4 linked regions of the Lepisosteus oculatus genome follow. The protein of the gene in region 4 interacts with the protein of the main gene of each other region in a biochemical or structural test. Links are inferred from orthologs where the notes say so. Each region holds a gene or a part of one and is shown on either strand. Other genes may lie near its edges.

Evidence for each region.
Region 1: the proteins of rps6ka1 (region 4) and pdzk1 interact in a test that uses a peptide from one of them, tested with the Homo sapiens proteins (2 studies listed by BioGRID and IntAct). The link is inferred for Lepisosteus oculatus from reciprocal best matches to the Homo sapiens genes RPS6KA1 and PDZK1.
Region 2: the proteins of rps6ka1 (region 4) and magi2a interact in a test that uses a peptide from one of them, tested with the Homo sapiens proteins (2 studies listed by BioGRID and IntAct, with this or other methods). The link is inferred for Lepisosteus oculatus from reciprocal best matches to the Homo sapiens genes RPS6KA1 and MAGI2.
Region 3: the proteins of rps6ka1 (region 4) and limk2 interact in a test that uses a peptide from one of them, tested with the Homo sapiens proteins (2 studies listed by BioGRID and IntAct). The link is inferred for Lepisosteus oculatus from reciprocal best matches to the Homo sapiens genes RPS6KA1 and LIMK2.

The regions. Positions count from the first base shown.
Region 1 is NC_090710.1:24,600,533-24,607,783, forward strand, and holds the start of pdzk1 (Na(+)/H(+) exchange regulatory cofactor NHE-RF3), read right to left. Parts: upstream 3,196-7,251; 5' UTR 3,120-3,195; intron 1-3,119. UniProt on the Homo sapiens protein: A scaffold protein that connects plasma membrane proteins and regulatory components, regulating their surface expression in epithelial cells apical domains.
Region 2 is NC_090702.1:34,684,076-34,692,246, forward strand, and holds the start of magi2a (membrane-associated guanylate kinase, WW and PDZ domain-containing protein 2a), read right to left. Parts: upstream 3,210-8,171; 5' UTR 3,044-3,209; coding exon 2,746-3,043; intron 1-2,745. UniProt on the Homo sapiens protein: Seems to act as a scaffold molecule at synaptic junctions by assembling neurotransmitter receptors and cell adhesion proteins. Plays a role in nerve growth factor (NGF)-induced recruitment of RAPGEF2 to late endosomes and neurite outgrowth.
Region 3 is NC_090717.1:6,598,965-6,606,269, forward strand, and holds the start of limk2 (LIM domain kinase 2), read left to right. Parts: upstream 1-4,293; 5' UTR 4,294-4,755; coding exon 4,756-4,771; intron 4,772-5,871; coding exon 5,872-5,968; intron 5,969-7,305. UniProt on the Homo sapiens protein: Serine/threonine-protein kinase that plays an essential role in the regulation of actin filament dynamics. Acts downstream of several Rho family GTPase signal transduction pathways.
Region 4 is NC_090706.1:11,002,544-11,009,794, forward strand, and holds the start of rps6ka1 (ribosomal protein S6 kinase alpha-1), read right to left. Parts: upstream 3,016-7,251; 5' UTR 2,401-3,015; coding exon 2,338-2,400; intron 1-2,337. UniProt on the Homo sapiens protein: Serine/threonine-protein kinase that acts downstream of ERK (MAPK1/ERK2 and MAPK3/ERK1) signaling and mediates mitogenic and stress-induced activation of the transcription factors CREB1, ETV1/ER81 and NR4A1/NUR77, regulates translation through RPS6 and EIF4B phosphorylation, and mediates cellular proliferation, survival, and differentiation by modulating mTOR signaling and repressing pro-apoptotic function of BAD and DAPK1.

The sequences.
Region 1 (7,251 bases), on a different chromosome or scaffold from region 4:
CATCTAACTTATTAGTAAGTATTTGTTCCAAGGATCCCATTGAGCCTTTTCTTGAAAGGAACCAGGTTGTCAGCTCCAACAGTGTGGCTGGGTACAGTAGCTTTTTATACTCCGATAACCCACTCACTATAGGTCCTCTCATGTTGGCCATTGACTTGGCCAATACAAATTGTAAATTTTCTTCTTCTCAAGCTTGTATGTTTAGGATAGTTGTCTTGCTGCATGACATACTTTTGTCTGGGAAAAGGATGGCCTGATATTATCCTCCAGAATTTACTGATACAGCTCTGAATGAATGATTCCCTCAGTGATAGTAAACCATCCGGACTGCAAGGTAGCAACGCAGAACAAACCATGTGAAACTCCTACTTCCATCAACCTCAGGAAGAGGTTCTCCTGTTGGATGTCTTTGCTTCTTTTTTGCCACACAAAACAGTTCTCATTGTGGCTAGAAAGTTTAACCTTTGACTTGTTTATCCAGAGAGGATACATCTTCTGGATCATCTTTTGTGATTGTGAGTTGAAAATGTTCTTTTTATGGAGAAATGGTTTCTTCTTGGTCATTCCAATTCAGGTTTTTGTGATAGGTGAGTCATGAACATTGAAACTGCACTGAGAGAGGCCTGCAGAACTGTAGATGTTACTCAGGGTTTACTGGATGATTTTCTGTTAACTGGAGTGACTTGCTGTATCATTTTTGAGGGTTTTTCATTTTTCTGGGATGCTCGTGGTGGGGAGTTCTTGGGCGGGACTGCCCATACTCAAGGACAAGGCCGCCTATACTCAGTCTTTGTGTCTTTTGTAACCAATTATTTAACCGCCTGGTCTAATTACACCATTTAGACAAATAAACAAGGGATTAACATTATTTTACATACAGTACAATTTCTTAATTATTTTTTTTTTTGCTGGTTCTCAAAAAACATTGAACTGGTAAATATAAATCATTTTGTTTATTCAAGAATGACTTGGGATGGGAGGGGGTAATGGGGGAAATTTGTTTTTATTTGTATGATCATTTTTTGTGTTTACAGAATAAAAAAAGTTGAACACACAAGAGAAAGACTGGTTTCAATTAAAGAAAGGTATCTTGGTAAAAAAAAACAATTACCCCTTAATTATACTGGGATCTCACAAACGTTTTCTTGGCACTGTATGAACAGTGGTTTAACACTTCACATGAAAGATGACTCTTCCTATAGCAAAATGCCCACTGTTACTATATACTGCACTGGTGCATTAATTTGGAAACTCTGTTTTAGGGGGAAACGTCCAGTCTACTACTGTATATCACATCAGTAGTGTGATTTACCTAAGAGGTCTTCCACCGTGATACTAATCGAGCCCCACATTTCAGAAGGTGCCATCATCACCACTGACAATCTTAAAAGCTTGTTTTATTTGCAAAATCCAATCCAATTGCTGAAAATTATTGTTAAAAGAACCAGTGGTAAGCCATTGCTTTGTTGAACTGTTTTCATTTTCCAATTGGAATTAATGTATTCATTCTAAAGAATGTCTAATGCCAGAATACTATTTAGTACCACTGAAATTGTAATTATAAAGAATTAATAGGTTATAAAGCAATATGTCTGTGGAAATAAGTTTATTTTCTTTTTTAAGCCCAATAAAATATATTTAGTGTAATTCCTCACATAATGCCAACAATGTTTAATGTAATTTATTATGCCATCTCCCATAGTCTGACTATGAGGACCTTATTGCAAAGACAGCAACATGATATCGTTTGATTACTCATTTTATAACAACAGATGTTTTTATTTTCTGAAATACACTGTATGTAATTTTCAATTGTGTTGTCATGATACTCTAATTCCTGTGCCAGACATTAGCTGACAACAAAGAAGGTTCTTTTATAACTAAATACACAGAAAAATAAATTTATGGAGCGTATTTAATTTTCTGGACACACACCAAGTTCAGTACTAAAGAAATTTAAATGTTTCTTATAGCTGGGCAAAAGTCAATACATTTGAGACTAGATTAAGTTTAGCATTAACAAAATGTGCTGACTAGACACATACATCACCTGATTCACATTAAATTCCTTGGCTTGTTCATCATTAACTTAGGAATTCTTAAGTTACCAGGTGATTGAGCTCTTTGATAGGACTAGCTGCCCTTCAGTTCCACAATAATAAATCTATTGGTGGTGGGAGCATGATGTAAATATAAGCTATACATACAGTACATCCATGTCTTTATTGTGAGATACTGTATTTTTCTGGTGAATGGGGTTCTCTCCTTAACTCCTAAAGAAATACCTAAGGAACTGGTTCATATGTCAAGAGTTTCATTTCTGATTTCAGAAATACATACAATGCCCCTTTCATCTAAAATGTTTTATGGAAACATTTCTTGATTTTCTTGTTTTCATGTTTAAAAGCAAGCCAATTTAAAATATTACAAAATGATAGAAATATTAGAAAAACATTGTCTCTACAAAGAAAATGCAAATTCATTTAGTTGAAATATTTTATGGACATATAAAAACCTTTTCAGCATTCAGCAGTAAAACATCTATAAATACAAAATGGAGAGACTTGGTAGGAGAAGAGCAATCATCACACAAATTGATGTTAGACTGTTAGATTAAACAATTAGCCTCAAAGTTTTAATAAGTTTGCATTTGCTATTTACAGAAATATACCTACATTTATATACACATTTTGAACACACAGGTCTTCACGTTCCTTGAAGTTTTAAATTGTAATTCTGCGTTTTTACTTTCTCTGGCTCACTGCTATTTCATCTTGATCAAATCAATCTACAACACATTTCTATTCTCTCCCATGAAATATAGTAACTTATTTTTGCAGCAATGGTATTAATTCAAAGGGCACAAAAATCACCATCCAACTAGTGACAATTAAATTTACAGTACATTTCTGTGACCATGTTGGTCAACTACTGATCGTTACAAAATTCTAGACATTTATGCAAATTTATATAAAAACAAATACAGATAAAATCCATTGTAATATAAGCTACTTTATACTTTTAAAGAAATCATACTTTCACCTATACTTGTTTTTTATTTGGACCTCTTTTTCAATAGAATAGATTTATTAGATTAAATTTAGATCGCCAAAACTCACCTGTCGCTGTGGAGGTACAATCCAAAGGGAGTCTTCCCTTTCTTTCCTTCAGGTGTTATCTCCTCATCGCTGGACTTTGAGAGACCAAAGGTTGACTTAAAGGCTTAGATATTTACCTGGATTTTGTCCTATGAATCTTAGATAACTACACTTTCCTTTTTAGGAAAGAAGTAAACTAGAAGTGTGATAGCAAGCCTATTTTACAAAATGCAGCAGAACAGAGTTTGTAGTTAAGTTCCTTTAAAAGAACAAAAACGCATTCAATTTCGACAGCCAGAAACAGTCTAAACATGTGATATCAGGTTAAGTAAGGTCCATTTACATAAAATAATAAATAATATTAAAGTGAAGTGAAATACAATAATTATAGATTGATTCAAATATCACATATATAATGATCAAATATACACAAAACATGATAGGCTTTGTTATTTGTTCACCTCCATCTTATATTTAATACTGTAATATGTCTAGATGTTTATTGAACAAGAGGGAGAGAATATGTGTACCACTACAGTTGTGTGTCTTTCTGACTATTTACATGCATCTATTAAGTATTATATATTTACTCTTGCCAGAAGCTTCTGTTTGCTGGTCAAGAGAAAGATCTTCAATTGCTAACTGATAGAAAATCAATGGGTATGCATCTCAGCATTGCCCCCGGTCAGTTATTGCCTATTTAAATTCTGTGAGGTGTAGCAAGCTGTTAATGGATAAAGCAAACATCTTATCTCGAGTGAAGTTAACAAAATGCTCTGCTACATTTTTGCATCTTTTTAAATAAAATGTTTTTATTCTCATTGAATTTTTTATTTCCCCGTTATTGTTATCACACCGCTAAAAATATCTAATGAAATTTCAGCATGGAATAAACCTATTACTTGTTCCTATAATAGTAGTAGAATTTGTTTTCTATTTTTGGTATCCATCGAGCAGAAGAAATCTCCCTATTGCTTAGCGATGCACTTGTTTAAGAATGGAAATAGGATATCATCTGTTTAGCAACAGTTTTAGGAAATGATTTAGTCATTCCTCATTCCTACTCGTTTTTGTGCCTAAAACATAGAATGCAGTTCTCTACAGTAGTTCTGCATGTTATAATGGTTCTATAGAAGGTAGGATCCTGGTACTCACAATCTTGTAAATATCTGTACATAACAGTAATATGTACTGTGTGTTTGTTATTGTAAATATATTTGTCAGATCAAGTTTTGCTTTACTTTATTACCACATTCATACAGAGAACAAAAAAGACGGATGCGAGTAAGTGTTACTGCTTTGTATTTCCTGACAATAGTAGGTGTGAAATAGTTTTTTTCACACCCACTAACTTATAATTATATATGTAGGCTAAACACAGTATATCTTGCTACTACAGTATATATAAGAGTTTATAGTTGAAGGATGGAGGGTTTAGAACACTGCTGGGCAGTTCCAATATCTTGTGAAACATACGCAGCATATTTTAATATAATTTTAATATAAGTCTGTAATTTATCACTTAACAAAATATTTAGCTATATGATGTGATTTATTTAATAATAATAATAATAATAATAATAATAATAATAATAATAATAATAATAATCGCTTTCACTTATATAGCACTTTTCTGGTCACTCCACTCACAGCACTTTACAGATAATGGGAATCCCCTCCACCACCACAAATGTGCAGCCCCACCTGGATGATGCAACGGCAGCCATAGTGCACCAGAACGCTCACCACACATCAGCTATCAGTGGGGAGGAGAACAGAGTAATGAAGCCAATTCATAGATGGGGATTATTAGGAGTGTCACGCCCTCTGCAGCCAGAGGGCACTCCTTCTCTGTCCTGTCCCTAGTTTCCGGTCTGCTGTCCTTTCGGTCCCTCTCTTTCCCTTGGGCTATATATTTCCGGGTCTTGCACTCTGTCCTCGCTCAGCACTGATGTTCGGATGTCCTAGCACCAGGGCGCCCCACGTCCGCTCCCTGAGGGCATAGGTTTCTATACGGCACTCCTGAACTATTTGCACTATGAGCCCGGGCCTTTTTCCCGTCTCGCCGCTACGCATTTGGGTCTTTTTCCGCTCTCCTGCTCCCCACGGTTAGTCCCTTTGGACGTCCGTGACAAGGAGGCCATGATTGGTAAGGGCCAATGGGAAATCTGGCCAGGATGGCAAGTAAAGGCTTATTCCATGAACATTTACTTGTTCCTTTACAGCCTACGCATGCTGATGCAGCTACCTACTTGAATCATTTATTTTAGGTCTTAATCAGATGCTAATGGAAAAATACAGTATATGTAACTTGTGCAAAATAGAAGCTGTCCATCCCTTAACTAAAACATTCTAAAAACATTTAAAATGAAACCAAAACAATAAATCATTGTACAGGTTTTGATTTCCAATTGTGGCTAATCCAAATGTAATCTGATAAGAAGATGGACAGTTCTCACAGTGCAGATTTTGTACACAGTACCATCTTAATTCTGCCACTAACCATTAGCCATTGCCACTCCATTAACCACGTCAATTGCTTGCTTCAACGGATCAATTAATCATCCCTCACCCAAATGTTACACAGGTAAATTAATTATTTAATTCATTTTGCTTTTAGCCACATTTTTAATTAGGTATTATCTTAGATTAATATGCAAGCTAAATTAAATCTAAGTTAAACTAAGTTAAACTAAGTTAAATTGAACAAGCTCTTTAACCAAGGTACTGTAATGAAATTAGGTTCTTTTAGTAGAATAAAAAAATTAAAACATCAATTTCTAACTGCTTCATCTAATATACAGAGGTCACAGGGGAGCTAGAGTCAATCCCAGCAAGCAATGGGCACAAGGCAGGGTACACACTGGATGGTCCATCTCAAGGCAAACGCACGGACACAAACACAGACACTAACATGCACAAGCTTACACCAGGGGCAGTTTTCCCAGAAGCCAATTAACCTATCAGCATGTGTTTGGACTGTGGAAGGAAACTGGAGTACCCAGAGGAAACCCACGTGAACACGGAAAGAACATACAGTACAAACTCCATGCAGATAACACCCCAGAAATTGAACCCAGTGCCCCAGTTCTGCAAGGCAGCAATGCTAATCACTGTGCCATCATTTTAAAATCATGACAAACATAAAAAAATACAAGTTCAGGTGGGTAGCTGCGTCAGCATGCGTAGGCTGCAAAGGAACAAGTAATAGGTTTATTCCATGCTGAAAAAAAGAAGAAAGAGAACACAACGTTTCGGCCGTGGAGCCTTCTTCAGGTGTCAAAAAAAATAAAAATACAAATACAAAATAAAAATAAAAATAAAAAAATACAATATAATTAACATGACAAAATCATGATCTCACACACTGATTAGAAGTACTCCAGAATTTTCACATGTACAGTACATTGAATATTACGGAGCCCAACATCAGTGATAATCAGGGTGTAAACTAAATTACTGCATAGCACAGAAATCCACAATCCTCGTTCCTGAAAAAAGGATTTCAGTTCATTTATGCTCTTAATGAACTATATCAAGAGCTGAACTGAAGAAATTTAAAAACTTTTCCTAATTCTTCCACAACTGCTACTGAGCCCAGGAAATCCTACTGTACATACACATGTTCCTCCAGGTCCAAGATTGGAGATACCCGGCACAGCACTGAAGTTCATTCAGGTCCAGCTGGACTGGGCTGGATAATTCATTCCAGCTGCTCACAAAGCTTAGTGTAATGAAGTGCTCTTTGCTACCAAAGTGAGTATGACTTTAAGGAGGGGGACTCAGTTCCTAGATGACTGCTTTACCTTCTAGTTTTCTATTCAACCTGAGAACTCAGATTAACTTCATCAAATCATTTTCTTAGACAAATGGATGTTGCATTTTTCCCCATAGACGGTACCTTAAAAGATACTTTGCAATCCTGATACAGTATATTTAAAAATTTGCAGGCCTGGAGAGAATTATTGTATTTATCCAATTAACCAAACAAACTAACTATGAGTTGGAGTGAATGAAAAGCCAGAAGACGCTGCAATCCTTCGTGTTTGAGACGCCTGCTTACAGTAACAGCTTATGGTGATTATGCACAGCATCACTTTGCTTGGTTTATGCACATTTGAAAGGAGATCATAAAAAGACTATTAAGGAAAAT
Region 2 (8,171 bases), on a different chromosome or scaffold from region 4:
TTAGGATCTACAGTATATGTTTCTCTCGAGTCAGATTCTTCATAGGTAAAGCATCAGATATTATTTCTATGCTGATAACATCCAGATTGATGTTTGCACCTACCATTAATCAAATCCTATCTGTCCTGTCACTGTGCTTAAATGATGTTAAAAACTGAAGCAATAATACTTTTTACATCTGAACTTTGAAAGGACCACATTATCTGCTCCTTATCAACTCCGCACACTTTGGCTATTGATAGTCTTAGTATAGCATCACGGACACAGGTCAGGAACCTTTTATACAAGCTTGCACTTGAAGCTCATGTTTGAAATACTGTGAAGATGTCTTTTTCGATCTTAGCAGCATTGGTAGAAATCCTTTCACATCTCTCCCAATCTGATACAGAAAGCAAACCATGGTTTTATGTTTTCCAGGCTTGAATAGTTATGAAGTGCTTGCTGGTACCTGCAATTATGTTCCTAAGTTGCAGTATGATCAGAACATAGTGGCACAGAACTTAACTAAAATTAATTAAAATAAATTACTCAGAATGGAACTCAAAATAATGCAGTTCATCTTTAAGGGCTTTAGCACCGTAGTAGAACTCCTGTGAAGCTAATCAATTAACTGTTAACACTTACAGTATACATTTTGAGCACACTGGATTCTTTCAAGGCCCAAAACCATGGGAGACCATGCTTTCTTTAATGTTGCACCAAGGCTATGGAATGATCTCTTAGCTCATATCATCAGCACTTGAAATCCTTTCTTAAAACTTTTTTATTCCAGCTTTTAATTGTTTAGTTTACTGTATTGACTCATCTACACTATAGCTGTCTCTGGTGTTGATTAATCAAAAAGCGACTTCAGAAAACATATAATGAAAGGCACTATTTAAAATTAATATTATCATTATTTAAAATGAATTAAATGGAATTAAAAATAAACTCTTTGCTGTTAATGGTGAAATGAATGGGAGTTCATCACAGACACAGTCGATCACAAATTACATTATTTACCCCATAATAGTATTTTGTTAAGCAAGAATGGTGTATCAAAGAAAATATCCCAAAGATACTCGCAAAAAATATTGGTTTTTTTTCCAGTTTTGAAGATGTATCTGTAAAAATGAACTAATTAGCAAAACTATTAACTCATGATGTAAAGCTCAATACATCATAATTCTCTAGCTTCAAGACTCTCTTATCATCAAAATTCTCAAAATGCAGTCTACACAACCAGTCAAACATATTGTGATGTATCGGACACAACAACACATACAGTACTTAAGTTTCATAATGCCTTTTTTCCTGTACCACGACTAAAACAAGCATGACTAAAACAAGTCAAGATCACGCCTCATGTTCGGTTCATTATTGCATGAAGCAGCTCTGAGCCAACACTGGTTCCAGTTCTTATCTGCAGCAGTGAGACATTCAGACATCAGATTAAGGGTGCAAATGCAACAGGAGATACACACCAACAGTAAATATTAAGGTTGAATCAGTGTGGGTCTTTCAATATAAAGTATAATTTGATCAATATTAGTAGTGAAGCCTATTCATTTGTGTATATATAAAACTGTTTAAAGCAAAACAAATGCTGTAAGACATTGTTTTCCTGCTACCTTCAAGTCTGACTCAATGACTCTGCTGATTGTACCTGTATACTGTATATTTGCTTATTTTTAACAAAACGCAGAAAATCTAGAGCAGATAGCAGCTGAAATGAAACATGTAACAAATCAAAATGTCCTTCCTCTTAAATAAAGCAACTGTTCTAACTTAATTTTCTAACAGATATTGTATCCCATTGATGCTCTCAACAAGAAGTTAAGCCTTGAAGGGAACAAGGCAACTGCTCAAATCCAAAGACAATCAAAACAGAAAAATAAAATATTAACATTTCTCTTCTTGTTAAAATAAAGCATTTGTGTCATTGTTAAAGCTACGGTTGTATTTTAAGCTATCACTGTTGGATCACGTTGGAAAATATTTGTTTTATTTGTATATCTCTATATAAACTTTGATTGTAAAGCTGCAACGCCACGCCCACATACTGCAAAAGTGTGCCTGAAACTGGGAACGCTTGTTCGCCACCTTCCTTCACTTCCAGCGAAAGACATCAATCATACAATATCGCCCGAAAGCACAACACGGACTGCAAAGAATGATTTACATGAGGCATAATACTAAGACTGTAAAACTGTATACAGGAGGTCGAGGATGGGATTTCCTTTTAGCTTCTGATAGCAGCTATTGAAGCCGAAAACAACTCATCTTTTCCGTGCCTTTCAGCTACTGATGCTTGACTTCACATTACAACTTAAGACCGGATTCTAAAACGTGTAAACAGCAACAATATTAAAATAAAAGGTGAAAAACTCTCAAGGAAATTATTTACGGTAACTTTAATTAATCTGCTCCCATCCAAAGGACACCTCTTACGACCAAACCGCTTTGTTGTGCTTTTAAGTTTGTAACTGGTATCTAAGGCTACGCATAACGGCCCACTCTCTTTTGCATTTTAAACTTTGCTGACTTTGACCTTTCCTGGAAAAACAACAAGAACGCGAGAGAACATAATTTTCGATGACATCCAAGTTTTAGATTTAAAACTGTCGTCGTTTTGTACAGTGCATAAACAGGAGTAACACTCGATAGCACGAACTACACACATGAACTGTATAGTATACAGTATAGGTTTGCCTTAATCAAAGCAGCGGTACGTCGATGGCTACATTACAGTATAGTACTACTCACCTTGTTTGACACATTTCAGCCTGATGGGATCTTTGCAGTGTTTGACAACGGCTAACACATCCCTGATGGTGAGTCCAGCCACTGGAGTATCATTGACCTCCAACAGTAGCTCATCCTGGGACAGTTTTCCACTCTGACAGACAACCTTGCCTTGCTTTATTTCTCCGACATAGGAGAACTGCCCATTCTCAGCGCCTCCTTTCAATTCAAACCCAAGCTCGCCTTCTTTATTCCTGCAAATGACAATTTCGTGGACTTTGTTGGTCCAGTGGCTTTTCTTTTTCAGGCTTTTGGACATGGCTGAAATAAATACTGCATGAGTTATTCATGCAATAAGTTCCCAGTACTGTCTGTGATATTGGATTTTGATGCCCCAGTGGATACTAGGTTATTTTATTAATACTGGATGCTACTGGTAATATCCATGTCAGCCAGCCTCTATAGCAGCTGTCTGGGGCTGCGTTACACTGTAACTGTGAAGCTGGTTTACACAGAGTTGCAGGCAACTGACCCGGATGTGATGTCTGGAGGAGAGAGGCAGGGCTCTGAATCCCTCCGCAGAATAGCCAGGAGGAAAGATAAAGAGGCGGTGCGTTTAATTTTAATACTGAGGGATTAAGCTTGTTAACTGAGAAAGCAAACTATTCAAAGGGGAATCGGCGAGATGTGCTAGTGATGCCTGTAACAGACATATATAAAACGAAATTAACGAAGCAGATTTCTGACACATTTAACAATGGGGCGTTCAGGTCCTTTACAAATACACAGCATGCCATAATATTTTAATTCGTTAGAAATTCTTCTAGGAAATTTGCATCTCTCCCGTTTTAAATATCTAAAAATAAACTTGAATGCAGGGAAATAGCAAACGCTGTGTTAACGCGAATTGAGGGCATAATATATGTTTAAAACTGGGTTCCCAGATGTGCCATGGCGGTATCAGTGTTCCCTGCGTCTTTCTAGATGTACCTTCATGTATTTGCAATTCGTACATATGATGTCTCAGACATGTTGCCATTTCTAATTGATTACGATTACGTTTCTAAAAAAACACGTAAAGTATGAGCTTAACAGACTCCATTTAAATAAAGACCTACTGTATAGTTTTCGTTTGTTAACATGCTACTTTTAACAAAGAAGGTTACCTTACGCCCAGTAAGTAAAACCAACAGGACACATTGAAGCTTTCCATGCACACATAGTCCTCGCTTGGCTTCTAAGTGAATGAAGTTGTAAAATTTGGCTAACTACCTGCAGGTAGCTTGCCAAATTTTACAACTTCATTCACAGGGATAGTGGATGTAAGGGACTGGAAACAGCTTGTGGTATCTAATCCAATTCTAAAGCACTGTGATGAAAACTGTCGACAACGGTGTCATGCTGGAACCAGTCTTTCCAAATTCTTCCTAGGTGTACTGTACCTTCATGTACAGTAGTTGTAGTGAGTGTAATGAAAAGAGCTACTGTATTATCTCTGAAAGTAAAGAAAGGACTTTCATTCCTGATTCTCAAAAACTATTGAAAGGTTGTTTTAGTCGTTGTTTTACATTACTTAAAAAAATGCATATTTTCTTACCTAACACACTCCAACCTTAAAAGGAAGTTATTAATTGAAGTTCAGGAGGGATAAACACACAAAGTCAATCTCACCCAGCTGTTCCTAATCATAATCATTACTGAATATTGCTACTGTATATGCTGTACAGTATATAGTGTACAGTATACAGTATATAATGCAAACACTTCTTTTCACATTTGGCTCATATACGTTAGTCTTCATCCACCTCATCCCCACCTTGCAGCTACCGCTTGGTTATTTCCTCTGTTAGATTGGGGCTCAAGCCTCCTCATCCTATGTCCAGGGGGCTACCCTTAACAAAACAGGTTAAACCAAAGCTATCCTACCTAAAATACTCATACATTCACAAAGCATATGATTCTAGGATTTAGAATACACAAACATATTTATTACTCTCTTTCTGAAGGTTCACTAGAGTGTGAATAGTGTTTTCTTTTAAAGTGTTTCTCTTTTGTAGTTTGTTTCCATGATGCATTGGAATACTGTCTTTCAGTAAATTGCCTTGTAAAGTACTTTGGGTGAATAGCATTGCACATACAGTAATTAGGCACAGTGCCATTGTGAAGGAAGCACACCGTACTGAAGACTTACTGTAACAGCCTTTGACAGTTGGTTCTGGTCACCGTAAAGAGAGACTGTGCAACATTTTAGTAGATTTGTTGGAGTACACTTGCCTCAAATGGAATCCAAATTTAAATCGCCCAGGCTTTTTTTACAATCACAAGTATGGTATGAGGCAGATTGTCACCCAGCCACTTGTGCCTGGCACTGTACTGTAGCTCAAGAATAATCCCAACCAAGTTAATTTACAGTATGTTACTGAGAAGTATATCTTCACAATTTTGTATGAACCCAGACATATGTTTCTCCTTTTGTGTTACACTTGAGTGCCATTGCAATCAACCCTTTCTTTGTTCTTTGGTTTTATCAACAAGATATCAAGACCTTCTATTTGCAGTTTTATCAAAATCATTTTTAAATGTCTATAAAATAACAACATTTTTCAATGTGTATAAAATAATAATGCTTTGTAAAATGGCAATGATAATCACGCGCACCATTTTACACAGATATAAAATACCTCATAAATTTGAGGTTTGTGCTAAGGCCATTTAATGTTTATTGAAACAAAAGGATATCTAATATAATGCAATTATGAGATTATACATTTTGGAAGTTTGTTCACATGTCCCCAAAGTTTTTGGATGTGAAATAAACTAAATATCTCTTTATCCTGTTCTCAGTATTTTGGATAACTGGATGACCATATGGCTTTTAGATGCCAGGCTATAATAAACTGATATCACTATGCAGATTATCAGGATATTCCATGTAGATTAAAATAATAAGGCTCCAAATAGAAGCCTGAATATACAGTATGCTAATCCCAGAAACATTGGATTAAAGCATTATGCCGAGCTGACCTGTGCCAATTGAGTGTATGAGAGCTTAATATGCACAGAAGCTTTTAAACCATGTATTAGCAAGATAGACAAATAAGATTATAACATGCTGCTGAATTTTGATTTCTTTTTCACAAAGACATTTTTCACCAGCTGGAGTAGATGTATAATATTTTGTTTTCTTTGAAGCTGTGATTCTTTTTAAGAAAAGTATATTCAATCTTGCTAAATATATACTTTATACTGTGTATAAAATGTGTTTAATTAAGTTTTGGTCCATGCAGTCACCATACTGTTACAAGTACAGCACTTTCAACACCTGGTACACAACTGTAAGACCAAACTGATGATCTTGGAATTGTGAGGTAACAGTACTAGTTACAGTACCACATTAACACTACACCCTTTATTTTGCAAAATATTTAATGGGTGTTACATTTTGTTGAAATTTTGGCTGAAACACCCACACAGGATGCCTGACTTGTGTGTATACAGTATATCTTATTTAAACAGCCAACTATATGTTTACTGTTCACAGTGGAGACTTTTAAAATATGATTCACTGTATAAAAAACACAAATACATAGTTGTTTCATCAAGGTTAATTTTTGTTTCCTTGTTAAATTATGTAAAACATTTTGTAAGCATTCACAGAATAGAAAATTAAATTGCTAGAATATTTCCTATTACACTACAGTATGTCTTACAACCAAGTAATTTGAAAGGTTACCATTTGAACTACTGTGCCTTTCAAAAGTATTCACTTCCTTCCTTTGCTTACTTTTACCTTATTTCAGCCACAGAAGCATTTTATTTGAGCATTCAAATTTTGATTAAAATATTGACTTTACAATATGTGAATACTGTACCTCATTTGAAATTCAGCAAAATGATTCATTTGAAGTGGATGATGCATTTGCAAGACATTGCAATTTCTATTTTCTGTTCTCTTTAATGGAAATAAGACAAAAGCAAAAGAACATCACTTAAAACATTAAAATAATCTCGACCTCCCCAAAGTGGTGAGTTTTGCACATTTTTGAAATTCTTGAGGTGGGAGGTACACTCACCAAAACACAACCGTAGAAGGAGTGTCTCATTTTAAAGTGGGATAGAAATTTTATTTTCATAGCAAAATGAATTTGACAAGTCCTTGCTGACATTGTGTGGGAGCTGTCTATCTTAGCAGATAGGTCATGTGGAATAATACTTCGTAATTAGCTAGGAACATTTGGTGCGAAGTCAGCATGGGAGCTGTTGTCATCTGCTCCATGCTACACTGATAAACTATACAGTAAGTGACAGAATTAATAAAGTATGTCCACTGACCACAAGCATGCTGTTGGCTGTCAAAACTCTGTTTTTCTATTTGCCTGGAATGTAATTAAGTTAAGGAATCTATGCTGTGGATTCAGCATTTCATATTTTCATTCACAAAAGAGGAGAGAAGAGAGTGACAAAGAATGAGGGATAGAGAGAGAAGCCACTGACCTGAACTGATAGCAAGAGTTTGCAGTAGAGTAATTCTGTCAACCATATTCTACAGATGAAGTGGCGAGAAGTTAGGTGCTTTGATGTGGGAATCTTTTAAATAACATACATTGTATTGTCTGCAGTAGAGAAGTGGCATGAAAGGATAATTGGTAATAATCTATCTGAGGTTTCACTTCTCCTGTCAAGGAAGGCATCATTGAGAGTCCATTAATGAGAAATCCAAAAAACAGAAGGGACATTAGATTTTTACTCCCCGACATGCTGAATTTGGTATCCAATTAATCAAGTTTCTAAGATGATGACTGAATGGTTTTAGGGATGTGAACTTTTATGTTTTATCATTATGTTGTTTTAAGTAAAATACAGGTTTTAGCACTTTAGTTTTCAGGAAATGTGAAGCAATGTTGGGATGTGTGTCAGTATACAGTATGCATGTGTTTTGGGGGGCACAGGAGTTTCATTAAACATCAGGATTGTAAATGGCAATTATTAAAATCCTCTATGAAGACAGAAAGTTTAACAAACAATAAGTTCTATTTTTCTTCACACTGTTGCATTATTCTCTTAAATAGGATGTCTTGACTGTTTATTTTACTTCTGGGCTCTTAAATTATGGAAATGTTTTACATTATGAACTGAAACTGGAGCTGCAAGTCTTAAGAAGAAAGTTTAACAGGAAAAATATGCATTTTCTGAATCTTATCTAAATAATGTTTTCTGGTCAATGAAAGTGAAGATTTTCTATTTTTGTTTCAAATAGTGATCCTGAGACCACAGATCTGCATATCTTTACGTGGAGAAAGCTGAACAAATAAGCATGGATGTTTCTTCATATTTTACAATACCTGTGTTTGGGTTGTCAAATTTTACTTAGAGCAAGTGATATTTAACAAGTGCAGGTGATATTCCAAAAAAATAAAGTAACATGGTGTCAACACATTTTTGACCAC
Region 3 (7,305 bases), on a different chromosome or scaffold from region 4:
ATGAAAATAAGTTGTAGCTATGATACAAATTTGTTCTCGACAAATAAAGTGAGTCCTGCTTCATGGCTAGCAGACGAAATACAAAAAATGGAGGATCGCTGATGCAAACCCGCCTCTAGTGCTTTTGTGTACTTTAAGATCAGTCACGGCACACCTGGTTATACACCAAGCACATTGTAATGCCTCCCCTCTTTGTTTTCTTATATACAAGTTTGAATCTCTAAGTCTTGTTTGTGAAACGGTTTAATTTTCATCCGTTTATACCAAATACTCGTGTCGGCAATGGCACTGTCTGTGCTAAGGTAACAAGTGGGGCTCTTCCCAGCATGCACACTCTCTGCCACGCCAACAGACCAGTCCTCTGCTGTGACAGAGTTATCCACTGTCTGGATTTCAGAAGGGGAGGCAATATCACTTTTGTAACACGCTCAGTGCACTGAGCCTTGTTGCTCTGACACCTAGAACTTGTATGATCAACAGATTCATACCACCTAGATACAGAGCAGCTAACCACTGGGAAAGAATAACAGTATTTTCTCCATTTTAGTATCTATGCAATAATAGCACCTTTGTTTCTCCATTGTACAGAAGTGCATGTATTGTAAAATGTTTCGGTTTAGCAGTCTTCACCAATAGTGCAACCTTGCTGTCGGCCAAGGGTTTGTTTCTGTAGAATGGATTAAAGAAAACAACTGGTTGGGTTTGACAACTTCAGAAAGGTTAGAAATTTGGTCTGGTATGTTAGGAAACAAGCTTAAGCAATATAATGGAAAGATCTGTCCGTCTTGTAACACACCAGACTTATTCCACATTTAACAGGAAATTAATGAGTAAGGAAGTGTAAGCAGCTGTTCAATGTCTGCCTTCCTGAAGCCTACTTCTTAATTTCTCTCAGAAATAGCTGACACTCATTCTGACTCTGTCAAGGTGGGTGTGAGAGAATGATTTCAAAACTTTAGCCCTGCAACTTTTTATAAAACCAGTTCCAAAAGTTGTAAAGCAAATGTGGAAATGAGAGAGCTATGTGAAATTGTAGCTCAGTTCTGTTTAGAAATTAATGTTGAGGGAAAGATTTGAAGGTTGTCTCTCAAAAGTCTATATTACGGTTCACAAACGTTGTAGCTAATTGTTGCAACTCTTTGAAATATGAGCACAGTTCACCTGATTTAGATGAAGAAGTGCAATGTCTTCAGTTCTGTTATACTGTATGATTATTGGTTTGTTTGTTTTTTTAATGGATCTGGTAAATTATATTAACGAATGATGATTAATGCATAACATTGTGTAGTGTTACATTTGTTGCCAGCCACATAAATAGACTTGATTTTAGAAAAAATCAGAAGCATTCAGTTCAGTTTAATTATTCCATTTAGACTGTCTTAATTTTTACATCTCTTCTGTATGCCATATCTGAGATTCTAAATAAAGGTATTTTTGAAAATGTTCTTTCAATGTCTTTGTTTAAAATATGTAAAGCAAAAGGGTAGAAATTACAGTGATGCCTGTAATTAAAATTGAAGAGGGGAAGCAGAAAAATAACTTTAGATTTAAAGTTTGCTTAAGTACCCTTTTGGATTATTTGATTAAATAAACCCTCAAGAATCAATTCACAAGAGTTAATCTATTAACAATTTATGTTATTACTACAAATTATAAACTGTCCAAGTTAAGATTAACACTGAAACATTATTTGTCAATGAATTGACATTGACAAAGGTACCAGATATTTTTGGTACTTTAGTTTGTTTTCCCATTTCCATGTTGAAAATCCTATGTGAGAACCTTACTTCTGTTATGGAAAAACAAAACATTCATCCAAAACACCTTGTCTCAACAGTACCAAACAGGACCACGCTGTTTTTTAAAAACAAAATGGCTTTGTAAATAGTGCTTGTGGGCAGCACATATTTTAGATGTGCTCAAGGTGTACATATTACAGTGTCTGTACCATAATTTTTGAAACTGCTGTTTACGAATTATAGAATTATCTCTGGCTTACTTCAGCCTCATTGAATTTACCTGCATAGATGTTCTGAAAACAGTTCATAGCGTTTAGTCAGTAGAGGTAAGAAGAGATAGCACTGACAAAAACCTATTCTACTCATATCTATAATGCAATTTTTTTTGTTGAAACTTAAAAGCACTGTATCGGAGCTCGCTTAATACCCTTACCAGCAGGAAACTGAGAAAATCAGAGCAAACTGAATCAACTAAAACCAAGAGTGAAACTAAATTGCACATTGTGTACAGTGAAAAGAGAGGTTTTAAAGCACATTTTAAATATGCAGAGCTGCAAATTCCCTAATGGATTTGAGTAGGCAGGGCACTGCACACAAGAAGACCCTGTTGACCCTTGAGCAAAAAGAACTGAATCAGCAGACCACAGATTAAGAGTTTATCTGCTCTCGTGCAACAAGTTCTTAAGATAACCTAGATCCAGAACATTCAGTGTCTTATAAATATGTATACAAAAGACATTCAGCATGAGATCGATATTTTTTGTTTTGTGCTAGCAATGAATAACTCATCTGCCCCTTTTTTTTAAATGAAGAAGAAGCTGTAGTAAACAGTTCAATAATGAAATTTGCCCTTTCAATGTATTGAACTTAATACTTGTACCACTTAAATCCACAGAAATCACACATAAAGGAATTTTGTGATTGTGAAAGGGTTTACCTGCAAAATGTTGGCATAACCATCTTAAATATGATGGGGAATCTGAAGGTTTTTACTGAGCATCAACGAAGCTTCCCAAAAACAATTGTGCAATGATAGTATGTTATTTGAAAAATAAAAATATATGGATTTTGGATATTAAATGTCTTTGTTTCAATTTTTTTAATTGATCATTCGTGACTGACCACTAAATTTTCTTTGGTGCATCAACACTAAATCGTGTGCAAGCGATGAGGTGATTTAACCTGGTGAATGTCAGATCTATCTATAATGAAGACATTATCAAGAGAACAATGCCTTTATAGCTTGTGAATACCAAAGGCCAAACAAAGTCTGAGGTGTTCACAGGAACACTGGACTGCAGTTTCTAACCTAGTTAGACTTTATAGCCAAACTCGTTAAAGATGGACCATGATCTTGGAGACCATGAGTCGTAACACCTCACCATAATCAATGGGGTCCCAGTGTGATGGTCTGGGCAGGAGTGTCCTGTCGCTACACAACTGCAGTTTTAGTGAATGCCATTAACCAGAGTGCACAGTGCTGCTCGGATCTCGTCTTGGGACATCCCATTCTGTGACCTCTTCCAGAACATGACAACCGTCCGGCGCAACAACACCTACCCTCGTGCTGCTCGGGGAACAGCAGCTTTTTCTAAAAGGTAAGAGTGGGGCAGTTATGTGGCAGTGGATGCCCTACTGCCCGGTCTCGAGCTCCACTGCCAAGAGCTGGGATGACGTGTGGCATTTAGGGTAGACTGGCCCGTGAACAGGCACTTGTTTGTCCAAGCTGTAGGAGAGGAATCTGCCACAGAATCCCACAAGGCAGCATCTGCAGCCGATACAAAGCGTGAACCAGGACTGATTCACATGTGTTGCTAGCCTAAACTTTCACAGGAAAGCCCTGTTCATACGCGGGAGTTTCATAAACTAATGTCTTGTAATAAAATGTTGAGTGCACCCGCTGCAAAAAAAAAAAAAAGATTTCCATTTTTGTGATAAATTTGTGAATTTGTTGCAGGTACACAAGGCAGGCTTCTTTTCATGCTCAGCATAATTAAATTGTGAAATCAACTAGATGTCAGTGTTGCTCTAAGAAAGCAAAAGTGGGCCTCATTAATTTCAGTTAAGGCATCCAAATAATCTCCAAACGACGTTAAAATGATAAATGTATTATTTGACACTTCTACTCTGCTAAGATTGATCTAATTGCAGATATAGGTATAAATCTGACTTTTCTTTTCAGCTTTTTAGTTTTCTAATCAAGAGGACAACAAAACGAACTAAAAAGGCTTAAGAGAGATTTGTGCGCTGAGAGCTACTCAACGCGCATTAAATGATATCAAAGGACAACAGCAACGTCCTCGATGCACAGTTTTAGCATTAAGTATTGTTTTTAACAGATGTCTCGGGTGGGTAGATTTGATAGCGAGACGCACATAAATCACAAAGATAAGCCCTTTAATCTGCTTCACCTGTTTGACTTTCACCTGTACGGAATAAAACACCAACATACGCCACTATGGCATTTTAAAAATGCGTCCGTAAATATTTTCACATTCACATTTTTGGGGGGTGGGTAACGTAACTGCACATCACAGGCGAAGGGTGAGGGTTTCATGATCGGCGGGCACCTCGATAGGTTTTCCCACGCCAATGATGAACTAATGCGGACGGCATTAAAGAAGCTATTCCGATGTGCTGCTGCTTGCGTGTCCCTGTCGGCAGACGGGTCTGACTGCAGCCCATTGAGTGACTGGAGAGGACTTTTTTTTTTTGGCTAAACTCCTGCCCCAGGTGTTGCTGTTTGATCCCTACCGGTCTCCGTACTGGAATTTCAAGTGCATGACGTCACTCCCGCTGCCAACAAGAAAGTTCGCAAGTCCTGGGCAGAACTTTTTTTTTCCCTCCCTTAGAGAAAGAGGGGGGATTTAACTCCAAATTCGCGGTGTCTCAACTACGGCTAAATAAAGTCTTACGTAACGCTCTCCTGTGTGCCTTTTTCTAATGATAAGCGTACGGCCAGCCCCAGGGAACCATGGTAATATAGGCAAAAGCAAAGTCAACGAGCAAGGTTTAGATGGAGGATCGGCAAGGTAAGTAGCTCATTTGAACTCACTTAGCAAAAGGGTTTATGATGCGACAAAGTTTACATTCTTATCTTTGCGGCATTTGCCAGTAAATCCTAGTTAAATTCGCAATATATATATATAATCTTCACTGTTGCCCCGTTTATAGTGGAGTTAAAGTTAGGGGGGAGCATTTTCAAATTCCAGTATTAGCGAACCTGTTGTAACCTGAATACCAGCCTGCGAACACGCAACTTTCAGGTTTGGTGAGAGCTCCTCCGGTCGCAATTATTGTGTTTAGTTTGGGTTTCTTTCATGTTTTTAATCCAGCAGCCCGAGTGAGGCGATATGCTAAATGTGTTGAGCACCAAAGCTCGGGAAAGTGAAATGTGTGTGTGTACATATATATGTGTGAATTTCTTTCAATACACCGCTGAACCCTTTCCCCTTGAAGGTTTGTATTGATTCCAGTCAAAAGTTTAACACTTAAATGCACACTTCTGTGTCTAGGTTATGAACAGCTGGTGGTTCATTTTTTTAGGAAGGTGTGAAATATTCTGGAAGTGTTGGTGCGCACATTTTAAAAGGCGACGACTGCTTCTCCCCAGCCTGCGGGAAAAAGTCACAGCTCAGTCTGCAGTCGCTCAATTTTGATCCCTGTGCGTGTATAAATTAGCTGGTATTTCATAGCTTTTCTGTCTAAAAATAACTTGGACAAAAAAAGTCCCCCTAACTCAAACCATACTTCGGCTATGATCGTTTGGACACAGATCAATCCCGTAGGGTTACATAATGACACTTTAATGGCTCCTTTTAAAGCTGTTTTGCTTTTCTATTCAGACTGTTTTATCTAAATAAATACCTTTTAATTTTGTAAAAGTGCAAAAAAAACTGTTACAATTATTAAAAAATGCAGGGTTTTTTTTAAGGAGCTCCTTTTAAGTTCCAAAATCAAGTAGCGCAGTAAATCGCTGATTTATGCTGCGCTAAAAGGTCGGGGAGGACGGTTGCTTTTGTTACGAGTTCTTAAAGAAAACCAGTCGCTGCTGTGGTGCAAGTGGATGTTTGTGCCGTCCAAATGCGATGTTTTTTTTTTCTCACGCCTCACGACACTGTCTGGTCCTCAGGTGACGAGTCTTACCGTTGTGTGGGGTGTGGAAGCAGGATTCTGGACACTTTCTACATCAAAGTTCTCCAAGACGTTTGGCACAACTCCTGCTTTCAGTAAGTGCAAGAAGCTGCTGTGCGCAATTGTGACTGATGTTAAAATGCGCCTGGCTTAAAACTCACTGTTTGTCCTGTGCAACTGCAGTCTTCATTTGATTTCACTTTGACCAGTGGTTCAGAGATGCACCTTGACGTTTTGTTTTTGTTACATTATGAGCTGTAGCAAATAAAATAGTTTTTTTCCGATATCTACGGCTTTCGCAGTTTTTTTTTACTGATTTTTATTATTATTGTGGCAAACCTAGTCATTTTCTTTAGCCGGGCTAAAGCATGCACTGAGCTTTTTTTAGCGCTAGACAGCATATAAAGTCGAAATGTATTTGTACTTATTATATAGGTACAATATGTATTTAAACCGATACCTTTCTTCACACGCCTGTTTCAGTTTTTGAGTCTTTAGAGACTTCTCAGTGTCGTCTTACCGTCTCTTTCCTATGTTGACTTTAAAGCAGGTGAGCTGTCAGTGGTAATAATGAATAATAATTGCTTACACTTATATAGCGCTTTTCTGGACACTCCACTCAAAGCGCTTTACAGGTAATGGGGATCCCCTCCACCACCACCAATGTGCAGCATCCACCTGGATGATGCGACGGCAGCCATAGTGCAACAGTACGCTCACCACACATCAGCTATCAGTGGGGAGGAGAGCAGAGTAATGTAGCCAATTCATAGAAGGGGATTATTAGGAGGCCATGATTGGTAAAGGCCAATTGGAAATTTGGCCAGGACACCGGGGTTACACCCCTACTCTTTTCGAGAAACACCCTGGGATTTTTAATGACCACAGAGAGTCAGGACCTCGGTTTTACGTCTCATCCGAAGGACGGCACCTGTTTACAGTATAGTGTCCCCATCACTATACTGGGGCATTAGGACCCACATGGACCACAGTGTGAGCACCCCCTGCTGGCCCCACTAACACCTCTTCCAGCAGCAACCTTAGTTTTTCCCAGGAGGTCTCCCATCCAGGTACCGACCAGGCTCACACCTGCCTAGCTTCAGTGGGTTGCCAGTTGTGAGTTGCAGGGTGATATGGCTGCTGGCTGTATGCTGTAGTCATACATCTCCAGGGATTTGAATAGGAATTAACTTCTAGGATCTGTCAGTATTGTAGACAGGCATGTGATGCACGAATTTTAACTGTTCGTACTTCGGTGAATTCAGTGTTGTTAAGTCCTGGGATCTGTAGAGTGCATTTCATCACACAGGATACCAAAGCACTTCTAACTATAAGAGGGGATCTGCTTGAGTGATGTCTGGCACCAGAGTCCCCCATGCAATGAAGATCAGAAGGAGGAGGTAGTAAGTGTCCCACCAGCTGAATTATTGGG
Region 4 (7,251 bases):
GGGTCACAGAGGAGCCAGAGCTTATCCCAGCAAGCAATGGGCGTTAGGCAGGATATACCCTGAACAGGAGGCCAGTCCAACAGAGGCCACGCACACACTCACTCACTCCTGAAGCTAATGTTCCCAGAAGCCAATTAACCTACCAGCAGGTTTTTGGACTGTGGGAGGAAACCAGAGCACCCGGAGAAATTTCACACTAACACAGGAACACCATACTGTACAAACTCCACTGTGAACACTCCAGAAAGTGAACCCAGGGCCCCAGCTCTGCTAATAGCTCCACCACTGTGCTGCCACAAAGTTAATAACTCTGAGAATTATAACAAAGGCACTTTGCACTCTGCAGACATAATGCAGCTGGGTGGAGGGTACTGTACTTCAACCCTCTCTCCTCTCTCCTCTGAGGTGCACAGTCACTGTACACCAGAAGCTCAATGACAGCACAAAAGGTAGATAACGCTGGGATGTCCCAGCCAATTCATTTAACACGGGGGCACAGAAAATGTTTGAAATGAATTCTACCAGAACACAGGAGCTCTGCACTTTTCCAGTTATCTAGTTTAATTACCAGAAGCCAGGTCATTTTCAAACTTAAGGTCAACTCATCCAAAGGTTGGCTCCAACCGTAACATTGTCCCCTACTTGGCAAACAGTATGGAACTTCTGCACCAGGAGGAAAGGCGTGACCTACCCATCCAACAATGTGCCCCACTAAATACACCTTCATCATCACTAGTGAAACCTTTCAGAACTGAATTGTCAACCTGGGCGTCTTTGACACTATCCAGGGGGTCCCCAGAAATCAAGGGAATTTTAATCCCACGATCAGTATAGTGTAAAATCTAACAGCCTCGTTGAGGACTCTGTATGCTTTGACAAATATTACAGGGGATGTGCAGCCTACTGTACAGCAAAGACACAACCTTTTCTCAACCACAACCTCCTTCACATTATTTGTTGCAATCACAGTTGTGAACTTCAGGGTAATTAAAATCTTGGCTCCTTATTAGCGGTGATCGCCCTCCGTCACGATCCTGTCCGCCTCCACTTACTATAAAAGGCTGAGAGCTCCCGTCGATCAGGCCGTACAAAAGAAAAGCTGGAGCCCATGCAATAAACACACAGGGGAAAAACACTCAGAAATAGGCTCTTTCTCTGCCCCGCGTCTGTCAAGACTAGTCTACGGCTGTTAAAAGATAATTCTGTGCAGTCCCAAAAGCTCTGTTTGGAAAGCATAGCAGCCACACTGACTGCCAGCACTAATACTGGAGCATTTTCATTGCATTCCCAAGCATTTTCAGGAAGAAAGCAGCAATCGGGCCAGTCAAACGGATCATCGATTAGACACACTGGCGAGGCTGCCAAGAACACTGACTGGAGGAGAAGGGAATTGAGAGATTAGCGAGTTTACTTGTAACTAGGGGCCGTGATTCAAACCGATTCACAAATATAAGGATGACACCGTCAATCAGATAACGCAGTCGTCTTCACCACCCCTTTAAAAGGAATAACCACACCCAGTACAGCGGACGGCTCTGTATACAATATGTAGGTAGGAACCCAGCTCTCAGGACCAACAGAATTCAGTCTAATCGTCCCTAGTCCATATTCGATTTAACGCTATACTTCAGTACCGTCATTCCTACAGCACCTCGCTGTTCTAGACACCTGTAGATTCGACACATCTGGACTTTCGGCTGCAGAAGAGCGCACCAGCTCTGCCACTTACTGTACAACCGACAACCCCAAGTTGCTCTATCAACGGGTCGAGCTTCAGTGGAAAAAAACAACAACAACAGAACTTGTTTAATGCTAAAGGTTACATTAGAAAAAAATAAAATGCAATCTCGAACCAGGCGTGTGATGAGCCTGGGATGGTAGTGGCAAGTACAACTATCTGGATGAATCTTGCTGCAGGCTTTTCTGCAGCAAGCGGATTTCAAATGTATTCACACACTAGACAAAGTAAAACTTTTCACAAAACTTTAATATACATTGCTGGGACTCGGTGTTAACTGTGGCAAAATCACATACTCCTCAAACTTTCTGCGCTCAAATGTTTACATCTTCTCCTAAATTCTTTAAAACTTGTTAATGCCTAATATTTTTTATTTCCCCCACTCAATCTATTTTTTTTATCGCAGTGCTATAGGAAACGCTCTGCTGTTATGCAACCATTACTTCATAACACCTAAATTAAGAACTTATGGAGTTTACTCCTCGAGTGCTGTAACCTCTTCCCCACGTGTGCCTACCTGGCTTCCACAGCACTTAATGGGAAAGTGGGGGGGGGGGACACTTGACTCACAACGCCAAGCGAACCGGCTGCATTCTTACCTCGGTTTCCAGCTGAACAAGCTCCATCTTGGGCCATGGGTCTGCAAGTTGTGCGAGTGGCATCCTGAAACCGTATCTTCCCAAACACCCGTAGAAATCGTTACACTAATGAAGCCAGGCTGAGCTAGAACTCCCGAGGTTTTTTTTTTTGCAGTCCACGTCTTGCTAGCAGGAAAGCTCGCTCACAGGATCCTACCGTGGGAATCTGTTGGCAAAACCTCCTAGCAGCTCCTCTATAACCCAGTCGTTTACAAACAATAATGATCCCCCTTTAAAAATGACGTCGGCGTCTCCACTTGTCCACTTGTCCTCCTGCGAGCTTCAGACGGATACAGTCTCCCGTGTTAGCCCGAGCAAGCAAGGGGATGATTCTTCGGTGTGACTCGGCGGGCTCTTTCTAGGCAGGTACGTACAGGTTTGCAAGAAAGAAACAATGTAGCCGAAGCTCTCCAAGGTCGATGGCACTTCGCACCTGAGCAGCCCTGGGTCTTTACGCCCCAGGAATCGCTTTCTGGATAATAAATTCGCAAATCGTTTCCCAGAGGTTTGCAATGCGTTGTTTCCAAACAGGCGTTTTACGACAGCTGCATGGAGCTTAACCCAGGTTGTCAGACGCTTTCCGCTGCGAACCGAGAGCGCAGCGCCGTGTATCTCTGACTCCGCAACTGGCAGCCTCCAGCCAGCTTTCACCCTACCCCTTTCACGGCTCGTCCGGGCCGTTTGTCGCCCTCTAGCGGAGACGTGGTGCAAGCGAGGACAGCTATTCCTTACGACTGAATTGATGGGGGGAGATAACAGGGGAATACTAGAGGGTATTTGCAATGTCGCCAGTCCGGAGATGGTAGTCTTTCTTATTTTATTTTTAAATTAAACAAATAAAAACGTTCAAATAACTTTGTTTTTTTTAAGATAGTGGCCAGTCTTCGGAATCCCTCCCAAAGAATATTTCAAATATCTCCGTATAAAATCTATGTATTATTCTAATTTCCAAAAATGTTAGTTACAAATATTTACTTAATGTTGCCTTCATCGCGTGTTAAAAATCAATAGCATGCAACTTAACTGTTACCATCAATTTGTGAAGTGTGGATTTTTTAATTTAGTGAAATATTAATCAATATATTGCATTCATTCAGAAATGTAGCTGTTTTGGGGAAGATTTCAGTATCCCCGGCTTGGACATCAGAAGCCAGCAGTGGAAGAGAGCACCGTCTTTTAAAGAAATGAATGAACAGCTCAGAGAAACGGGGGACAACTCAGTCCCACACCGGTTCGGATCTCTTTTTAATGATAACACACTGCTTTTCTTCCTGCCTCGATATTAAAAAAAAAATAGGCGAACTATCGCTCACTAGCTTCTCTCACGAACAAACGAATCCTTTGGGGCCCTCTGTTGGCAATCAATCCTCAAAGATTAGACCATTTGAAATTCATACATTCATAAAGGGGGCTCTTCAATAACATTCCTGCTTTCGCTTCCAATGTGATTCAATTGGTGAAGCACGTCTCCCCCTTTTCTTCTGAGCGTGAGCTGCCGATCACGATTTGTCGCCCAGGAAAGTGCTTCCCGTCGACACTTTTGGGTTCCCTCATTATACAGTACATTGTCCTTAGGAGTGAATAAGAATAAAACCAAATTACCCTCCTCTACTACTGTTACTACTAATGATAAACTACAGCAGCTACTACTACTAAGAGTCTATTATTATTATTTAATAGTAATAATTGTGTATTGCTTAAATATCATTAATTAAATAAAAAATATAATACCAAAATTAATCCTTAATAATAAATTAATATAACAAATATATTAACAATTATTATTAGTAGTAGTTGTATAAAACTGCTACAACAGAAAATAATTTAGAGTGCTTACTCGAGGGTAAGAGTCACATCACTGGTGTCAGTAACGTGCTGTAATAACAGGACCCTAGCCAGCAGTATGATGTAGAGCAAGAGAGATCTTGCTAACACCCAGACATTTCCAATGGTGATCCTCACCAGTGGAAATTGCTCACTGAAGCAATGTGCTCTGGTTCTGCAGAAATTCCGGAGCTCCTGCATCTGTGACATCACATCTTCGCTAATGTAATAGTGTCGATTCTCGATGCTAGAAGAATGCCAGGGAATAATCTTCAACAACACCCTTCAGGCTGAGAAAAGACAAAGCTCTATAATAAAAGAGACAATGTAGGCACACTAGGCAGACATTAATAAATAGCAGGGCCTTCTGCTATTCTATTAATCATACTTAAAGAAAGAAAGTGGTTTTTATTATACACTGCTAACAAAAATCTCTCAAGAGAAGAGAAATATTGAAAATTGAAATATAGCACCCATTCACAAGAAGAGTAAGGAACCCAAGCCAATGGAGAATATAATCAGATTACAGTAGAGGACTGACTGTATGGTAGTAGGATTATAAGGGATAGTTGACATGGATTGCAAGAGGTTTGTCTTGCTAACTAAAGCACTTTAGAGTTGTTTGGAGAAGTACTGTAACACCAGCAATGGATGAAAGATGAACACGTTTTATTCTATATTTAGATTTTCAAAAGCCCTTTTATGAGGTTCCCAATAAAAGGATTAATGCTCAGATCAAACACATTGCTTGTGTTTGGATGGAGAAATGACTACTAAAACAGAGTCCAAAGTTTTCATAAATCAGCAAAGTTCCTATGTTAACTTGATTGGCATATAGTCAGTAAACTAGTCAAGTTCACAGCTGAAATAAGAAAATGGGAAGATGAGCAAAGATTGTAGAAGTAGCAGAGGAAATGAAAAAATAACTTGTATAAAATCAAACCTGGTGGAACACCTTCTGGTATTTAATATAGACAACTCGGGAGAACTATATGCAATTATATGCAGTTAAAAAATACAAAGAGAAATTTAAAGGGATATTATGTTACATGTGTACAATACATTAGTAATAACACATTTAGATTTGTGATCAGTACATCCCTGGTCCCCTGGTCTTATACACAGGAATGTTATACACTTAAAATTAAAAGTTAAAATAATATTTTAACATAATATAATTTAAGCAACAACATAAGAAAGAATGCAAGCAATATCAAATATCCAACTTCCGAGTTTGATAGTTTAGTAAATTTAAACTAAGATTTCATCCAGCTTGTTCTTTAAAATGCCAAGAGCTTTGGTCTTAGCCACCTGCCTGGGAAGCGTGTTGTAGATTCCCACAATTCACAATTCACAATTTTTACATTTTGAACAGAGATGACTGCGAAGGGACCTGATTCAAGAATTCCAAAACCCCAGTGGACTAGACCACCAGTAACACACAAATCAGAGCACAAGCAAGTGCAATTCACATGAGGACAGGATGCACCTTTCTGACACAGGTTGTGGGAGTCAGGAACAAGGTATTCTGCAATGGGTTTGAAGCCAATAACCAGGCTTCTTTGATGAAAACTGGACGAGACCCTCAGAATAACTTAACTGTTAGCAACAAATAGGACAGATTGGCACAACGGTATCCTCCCATCTGTGACGTTATTTTATTAAGTATATTTCTCGAGTCTTGAGAGCTGAGTGCAAACCGGTCTGAGCAGAAATTGCACAGAAGAAAAAAGAATGACAAAAATGAAATAATGAATCGCAGTGAGACCTAACTGATCTTCTGTCCCTTCATTTTCTAACTGATTCTTCCAATTCAGGATCTCAGTGGAGCCGGAGCTTATCCTGGCAAGCAATAGGCACACGGTGGGACACACCTTGGACAGGATGCCAGTCCATCGCAGGCAACACACAGATACAGATACACACACTCACGCCAGGGCCAATTTTCCCAGAAGTCAGTTACCCTACCAGTATGTCTTTGGACTGTGGGAGGAAACCGGAGCACCCAGAGGAAAGCCACACAAACACAGGGAGAACATATAAACTCCACACAGACAGCACCCCAGGAATTGAACCCAGGGCCCTGGCACTATAAGGCAACAATGCTTAACACTGTGCCGCCAATGCTACACCAAACTAATATTTTTGTGTTTCAAAAATACATTGAAATCCAGTACAGAATTTCAGTGATGTTGAGAGATTATTCCATCATTACCGAAAGCCTCGAGGAATCTCAGGATCTTCATTCGCATGAGGGTTATGACTCAGCCAGATCAGGATTCCCAGGGCTATGCCACGAGCTAGCATAAATGTGTACTGCGGGCTCCTCACTTCAGACTAGAAATGATGTGAGTTATATCGAATGCTATTTGTTATGGAAACACTATTGAATGCCACTGGGCTAATAAGACTCTCTGTCAGGTTTCTGCAGTTACTTTTTCAAATAGTATTATCTGGAATAAATTCAAATTTTTTTGTGTGTTGACTGGAAGAAGTGAGGCTGCCTCTTTGCATGTCAAAACTGAAAATATACACCCACAGGCATGGTAGGGGTCCAACTGCACCGAGACCCTTTCAGGATAAATGTAGGAAACAGGGCAATACAGAAAACTGGTTAGTTAGGGATAAAATACTGTGGAAGATTTCAAGTCATTTGTGTGATAACTGGGAGAAAATTATTGTTGAAAAAAATAATAATATTAGCAAAGCTACTGTATATGTTCAGCTAGTCCCTAATAAGCAGGATTTACAAGTAGCCATTAATCAGCTCTTTCTAAAAGCCTTAAACAATTTGTGATTAATGAGAGGTTACCTTACGTAATTATTTGAAGCCTAAAATATATGACCATTCAACCAATGAGGCCCAGAGTTCTATGAACAAATTGCTTGCTCCATTGATCATTATGGGTGTTCCTGCTCTTTAGAAGCAGGTACCCTTTGAGACAAACTGCACTGGGGCTCGTCTGCATCAGAGCGATCAAATGTCTTCAGACAATTGCACAAAAAAGAGAAACACGACGCAGGTTCTCGTTCTTGCTTTTGCTTTAGATG